2 linked regions of the Canis lupus familiaris genome follow. The protein of the gene in region 1 interacts with the protein of each later gene in a pairwise test. Links are inferred from orthologs where the notes say so. Each region holds a gene or a part of one and is shown in the gene's direction. Other genes may lie near its edges. The genes, in order: CHAF1A and MBD1.

Region 1 (3,819 bases):
TTGCATATTTATTTACTGCTTCATTATTTCCAACTTTTAATAACCTATCCTTTGACATTTTCATTCACAGCCATGGATTGCAAAGACAGACCAGCTTTTCCAGTCAAAAAGTTAATACAAGGTAACTTTCTGGGAAGGTGTTAAATACTATTCCTAATTTTATCCTTCATTGTCTCATCAGTTGTATTTTTAATTTCCTTTGAGCAGAGGTCTTCTGCTGGGGTCCTCAGCAGAAGCCTCAAGGGCTGGGGGGGAGATTAATGGTTGCATCTTCCAATCAGAACCTTGGGAACCCATGTGATTATGTTCTTGTTTTCTTAGGTTCCCAGGAGCACATCTAGTGGTTATTGCCTTTACTAGGGTTTCTCTACTTCAGCATTATTGACATTCTGTAATTTTTTGTCAGGATATGGGGCTGTCCCATATATTTTAGGGTTTAGCAGCATCCCTGGTCACTCACCTAAATCATGATGACCAATAATATCGCCAGACATCCCTGGCAGGGACAGCTGCCCTTGGTTGAACCACCATTGTACAGGAAGATAAATGTGTTCAACTTCTTTTGTGTGAAGAGTGGTTGGTATTTTTACTCTTAGGCTAGATTAGCTAAGTGACTATATAAAAAACTGAGGCTTCTGGTTTTTAAAACTTGGTATCTCGTTCCCCTGTAGCAGCTTTCCTCCTCCTATGATGACTGATAGCAAGTTTGGTGTTGAGGGGAGTCACAGGAAGAGCAACAGTCTCTGAGGGGCAGGGGCAAACTGGAACCCAAGGGCATGAGTGGTTTACAGAAATCCCCATCTGCTGGCCCAACCTCCATCCCAGCAGGTTGACACTTGTTGAGCATTTGGAATATTCAATTATTGATGGGCTGTTGCTCTTCACACTTTCCCTGTAAAGATGGCTTCCTCTCTATGTTTCAGCTCGTCTGCCCTTCAAGCGCCTGAATCTTGTCCCAAAGGAGAAAAGCGAGGACGGGTCGGATGACATGAGGAGCTCTGAGGGCACTCCTGCACAAAGTCAAGTACCTGATGTGGAGACCTCTTTGGATACCTTGGAGAACAACTGTCATTCGGGTTCTGACATAGATGGTAGTCCAAAACTTGTCAATGGGAAGGGTCCCTTAGATAACTTTTTAAGAAGCAGAGTCAAAACCAGTATTGACCAGACCATGGTCATCATTGATTTGACGGAGGACTCAAATGACCAACTGGATGATGTTGTGGCCCACAGTAAACTAAATTCTGCAGCCTCTGCCTCCGAGGAGGCTGTAAGCAGAGTCAGAGAAGAAGCTGGAGGTGACAGGGGGCTGCTGGAGGCCAGTATGGAGGATGAGCTGACGTGTCCTGAAGAGACCCTTTCAGACACTCCGTGCAAAACAGAGAACGAGGGTGCTGGCTCAAGGGGCACAGAGAGGAGTGGAGATGGGCAGAAAGGCTCACCCCCAAGCTGCCGTGTGCTGACGGCTAGTCCAAGAACATGCTCCGAGAAGGACCAGGATGGTTGGAGTGAAGCTGGGGGCATTTTTTTCAAAGGGAAGGTGCCTGTGGTGGTCTTGCAGGATATCCTGGCTGCGAAACCTTCTCAAGCCAAGTCTCCAACGACACCTGCACACCAGGGCATGCCCTCTGAGAGTGAGATGCTGGAGTCTGGCCCTGAAGAAGACTCTGTTCTTAGCCACTCATCCCGGGGTTCTTCCTCTCCTACCAGCTCACCTGAGGGGCAGTCTGCTTCCAAAAAGCAGCACAGCAGTCCCAGGCCCTTCCCCTCCTCCACACCTATCCGCAGAGTAAGTATCTCTGCTGAATGCCAGTGTGGCAGTGCTGACGGGATTCAGCCTCTTGCTCTTCACCTGGGAATACTGTGTCACTCAGGTGTTTGGTGGCTAAGCAGGCCACAAACAATTCTTTTGGTATCAAAAAACCACTAGTGGTGTTCGGTTAAATGTGCATTGTGATGTACCTGTGGCCCTGTTAATCACCAGTGTGTAAAGTGTCTTCTGTGAACTGTCATCTAGGTAGCCATGGTTGTTCACACCTAATGAGTGGTGCTAGTCAACTTAGCACTTTTAATTAGGAACGCTTTGTAAGCAGGCAGCTGTGACCCCTCATGTCAAATGTTAGCTCCCTCCAGTTTTCCTTGCCATTCCAACACAGGCTTGTAAGGGTGTTGATGGTAAAGAGTCAGGCAGCATTGGTGAAGAGACCCCAAGACAGCAGGAGAAATAAAATGGGGATTCTGTAGGCTCGGTTCTTGTCAGCCTAGCCACATATCTGAAAAACTTCACCCCAGAGCAACAAGAATAAAAGGAAAACCTGGCACCATTTTTAAGGATCACAGAAGGATGACTTATGAAATGCCTGTTTCTATTACTGATTTGTGATTAGCACAATGGCAGCAGGGTCTTATGGGTAAAACATAAATTTAGCCAAGAATCCAGAAATGTGTTTAATTAACAGTGTTCTTTGTTTTGGGTATTTTGGTTTTTGTTTTTCTGGGGGTTTTTTTGTAGAATTTTTGTGTACATTGCATTTTTGTTAGGCTCCATGCCCAATGTGGGGCTTAAACTCGACCCGAAGATCAAAAGTTGTATGCTCCACTCACTGAGCCAGCCAGGTAACCCTAGGTTTTTTGGTTTTGGGGTTTTTTTAAATGTAAGATCAGATTCTGTGTTGGATCATTCAATCTGTACTTTATCTGCTTGATTTTACTTTCTGAGATTTGATCTCTAAGGGACTAATTTTTCTAGATGATTCTATGGCTTTTATCTAAGTTTTCGAAGTGTCAAGGGTGGAGCAATCTTTTTTTCTTGGAGATACATTTTTAAACTTCCACCTGAGCCATTATTCAGACTCTTAGAATCAGAGTTGAAGAATCCATTTTTGCCGCCAGCTATCTTTCTTGGTCTGGCCAATTGCTTGAAATTCTTCCCGACTGCTGTTTGTTTGGTTTTTTTTTTAAGATTATTTATTTATTCATAGAGGCACACATAGAGAGAGAGAGAGGCAGAGACACAGGCAGAGGGAGAAGCAGGCTCCATGCAGGGAGCCCGACGTGAGACTCCATCCTGGGTCTCTGGGATCACGCCCTGGACTGAAGGCGGCGCTAAACCACTGAGCTACCCGGGCTGCCTTGCTGTTTCTCTTTTGCCGAAAGCCTCTGTCGTATGACATATTTAAAGCCAGTTAGCCTAGAAAACGGGACATGTGTACATGTGTTTCATTCTTCTTAAGCACTTTTTTATTTTATTTTTTATTTTTTATTTTTTTTATAAAGATTTTATTTATTTATTTATTCATAGAGATACAGGGAGAGAAAGAGAGGCAGAGACACAGGCAGAGGGAGAAGCAGGCTCCAGGCAGAGAGCCTGACGTGGGACTTGATCCTGGGTCTCCAGGATCACGCCCAGGGCTGCAGGCGGCGCTAAACCGCTGCGCCACCGGGGCTGCCCTTAAGCACTTTTTAAAAAAATATTTTATTTATTCATTAGAGACACAAGAGAGAGGCAGAGACATAGGCAGAGGGAGAAGCAGGCTCCCTGCGAGGGGCAGGGTGGGGGGAGCCCTATGCAGGACAGATCCTGGGATTCTGGGATCACGCCCTGAGCCCAAGGCATATGCTCAACTGCTGAGCCACTGAGGTGTCCGTTAAGCACTTCTTTTTTTTTTTTTTTCTTTCTTAAGATTTTACTTATTTATTCATGAGAGACAGAGAGAGAGAGGCAGAGACACAGGCAGAGGGAGAAGCAGGCTCCGTGCAGGGAGCCCGATGTGGGACTCGATCCTAGGTCTCCAGGATCGAGGCAGATGCTCAACCGCT
Region 2 (3,377 bases), on another chromosome or scaffold:
AGAAAGCAGTAGACTGGAGGCTTCTGCAGACTTTAGGATTCAAGGTGGTATTTATAGACTGGCTTTATGAGAGAACACTGATCTACTCAGGCTGGACTGTAGACCAAGGGGTCTTATGTAGGATTCAATAGGAACTTGAAAAACCTACACCAAACCAGAGAAGCTGGCCTATTCAGTACTACGAGCTAATAGAGGAAAGTAAGCAGGAAAGGAAGAGAAAGAATAGAAAGTTGTTGCATCTGCTCCAACTGGTGCAAATCCCAGGAGCTTGACTGTGATAAGTGTGGATATTACAGGTGGGGGATCTGTGGAGTGAAGAGGGGATGTAAAAGTCACCAGAAAAGAGCCTGTACAAGCCATCTTCGTAAATAATTTTTCAGTGGCTTCTGAATGAGACCTGGCAGTGTTTTTGAACATTTCCATTTCCTCAGAGAGACAGCACTGGAAAATGTAATGTGAATAAATCGAAAGGAACTGCTATTTGGTTAGTTCCTTCTACTGATCTAATTTATTTAAAACTCAAATCTTTTTAGTAAGACCATGATTTTTGCCCATTTTTGCATATGGGAAAACACTCAAAGAAATTAAATAATTTATCCAGTGTCAGACAGCTAGTATCAGTAAGCCTAGACAATAAAACCCAAGTTTTACAACTTTGTTCTTTAAGCCACCAAACTAAGCTGTAATCCAAATACGATAATGTGTAATATTATAGTCACAGAAGTTTCCAGTGACCTTGAATGCAAGGTGGGTCACTAAACAGAACAAATCTCTTACATTGCTGCCTTTAGCATGGTTTTAGGGTATGCCAAGGCTGTGTGGTTGGGGTCACTTTGTCACAGCACCCATGCATTCAAGAGACTGGTGGGTTCTTGTGAGGCCTTGGATGTTGCATAAGAGTTCTCAAAACACTAAAGGATGTCCTTCCCCAGGGTTCACTGTCCATTTTGCTTGTTGCCCTCATTCTCAGCCAAAGCAGTCTTCGGAAGTAAAGCTGCCAGCCTGGCTCATCTTTGCTGACAACTTGCCTTCCCTACCCCTTGATGACTTTTGCATTTGGTTTCTGCCCTCAGTCCCTCTTCTACTAGGAGTCCTGCATAAGGGCATCTTGACTCAGCCCTGCCTCACTTCCCAGTTCTTTATAAAGTGCCAAAAAGTCTAGACCTGGGGTTCATTATATAGTCAGCTTTACAGGACTATGACTGAGTGCATGCTGCTTAGATTTTGTAGCCTTTGTATCTCCCCTGCCCTACTCTAGTCCCAGCCTTGTAGCTTTAGAGAATTCAGATGTAGACTAGACATTTCCTCACCGTTAACCCTTTTTGCTACCCTCTTCTGCCCCTTCCTTTGTCTTACGTTTTTGAGCCAGAGTCGAGACTGGGTAATTTTCTGATCATTGTTTTTGCTCTCCTCAGAACCCAGCCATCCAACACTAGTATTCTATGATGTCCTAAATGAAATTTATTTGATTGGCATTCAGACTCCTCTAAGAGCCTGGTTACAGTGTGTATCACAGTACAATCGGGAAAAACAGCACCACTGATATAAAGATTATATATATATGTATATATGTATATGTATATATATGTATATTTTAAGGGAATTACAGGGATTTGAGCTTATGCAGTAGTGGGAGCTGATTAAACAGTCTCTGTAAGGCTGTTGTCTTTACATCTAATGCTGGAGCTTGAAGTCTGCAGGGCAGGCAATCAGGAAGGGAAGATGGATATAAAGTGTGGGAGACGGAGGACACTTTGGCGTGCACGAGAACGAGCTGGAACCAGCGAGGATGGCCTAGAACCCATGTCAGTGTCTCACCACCTCCAACTTCGATGATGTGGGTGTCCTGCAGAAGAAGCTGGTGCCCTTCATCACAGAGTTAAATACTCATCTGGTCCAGGAATTAGAGAAGCTGGAGGAAGATCCCAGGGAAAGTGGAGCAGCTGCAGGCCTGGCTGCAGGCCTCACTGCTGCCCACACCCAACGAGGTGAGCCAGCAGATAAGTGACAACATGTGTGAACTGCAACAGTGCCTGGTGCGCCTGCACCAACCTTCCGAGTGTAAAAACAGTATGCTGCTGCTTCACTTCTGTCCTCCAATTACCATGCAAAATGTCTCTTGTGGCCCATCCTAACCGGAAGCATACTGGGAAGGGAGTTCTGGGAAATGTAGCCTAGTCAAGGTGACACATTACAAAGCCACCCTGCCATGAATCAGCTCCCAAGGGTCTCACTGCTCACCTGAGGATAACTTGATAAAGCTACGTTGCTGAAAATGCAAAGCTGAAGACCATGGATTTCATGGTGACCCCAGCAAGTACAGAGATACTGTCAAGCCCACCCAGAAAAAACTGGCTGGTCTCGGCTATTTTTGTGTCATTCATTCAAGTATTGAGAACCTGGCCTATGGTAGGCACTGTACTTGATACTGGGATACAGGAATGAAAAAGAATAGTCCATGCAATTTTATTAAATACATCAGTATGTATTACAAGTGGTGAATGGATATCCAACTTTATCATGGAATTTAATGGTGAAAATATAGAATTCAGGAAACTGTTGGAGGACAGCCCTTGCGTGAACCTTGTTGGGGCACAATAGGAATTGGAAATAATATAAATAGTTTCTATCTCTGAGCTGTTCTATTTTAAAATTATTTTAAAATAATTTTTACTGTCCCGTTTACTGTTTCATATATTTAGTGTTTTTGGGGGGAGTGTCTTGATGGTGGTAACCATGTTGACGCTGAGAAAGCGGGATGGTGGGTGGCCAGTCAAGGTCGGGTTCTGTCCAAGGACTTTGGGCCAATCCCTGGTCTAGGCCTTGGGGCTTGGCTGAGGGCGGAGGTTCACGGTGCTGGCCCTTGGTCCCGGCTCCGCCCCTCCACCCTCCGAGTAGGCCCGCCAGGGGGCGCCGGGGCCACCGTCATCCCACCCCGGCTCGGGAGTCGCGCAGCCCCTCAACCCTGGCCAGGGCGGCCCCGGGGCGTGGCCTCCACCCGACCGAGACACCAATCTTTGGCGGGGCTGGGAGGAAAGCCGACTCTTCTCCACGTAGAGGTAAAACAGGCAAAACCGAACCGGAGTTAAATTATGGGGCGCGCCAGGGGTGAGGGTGCGACAGGACGAGCTCAGGACCGACGCTGGGACGTTCAAGTCAGCAAAGTGTCGCCAAGGGTCAGCTTCCCCTGTTGCAGGAATCCTTTCAACGGTATCCTCCGGGCTGTACGACCTCTGGGGTGCCCGACGGGCTTTTCTGTATCTCTGCTGCTTTTCCCATACCCCGCGCCTGACCGAGGGCCTTTGCATTGCCTCCCTTCCTTCCCAAGGGTGTGGTGTGAGGGGTAGTTCCACCCAGACCACCTGGTGGGCCAGTCG

Evidence for each region.
Region 2: the proteins of CHAF1A (region 1) and MBD1 interact in binary tests that used the Homo sapiens proteins (3 or more experiments, as listed by UniProt). The link is inferred for Canis lupus familiaris from reciprocal best matches to the Homo sapiens genes CHAF1A and MBD1.

What each region holds. Positions count from the first base shown.
Region 1 is NC_049241.1:55,668,927-55,672,745, reverse strand, and holds part of CHAF1A (chromatin assembly factor 1 subunit A), read left to right. Parts: intron 1-70; coding exon 71-121; intron 122-923; coding exon 924-1,789; intron 1,790-3,819. UniProt on the Homo sapiens protein: Acts as a component of the histone chaperone complex chromatin assembly factor 1 (CAF-1), which assembles histone octamers onto DNA during replication and repair.
Region 2 is NC_049228.1:78,701,142-78,704,518, forward strand, and holds the end of MBD1 (methyl-CpG-binding domain protein 1), read left to right. Parts: coding exon of another isoform or gene 1-12; exon of another isoform or gene 13-44; intron 45-1,693; coding exon 1,694-1,883; 3' UTR 1,884-2,690; downstream 2,691-3,377. UniProt on the Homo sapiens protein: Transcriptional repressor that binds CpG islands in promoters where the DNA is methylated at position 5 of cytosine within CpG dinucleotides. Binding is abolished by the presence of 7-mG that is produced by DNA damage by methylmethanesulfonate (MMS).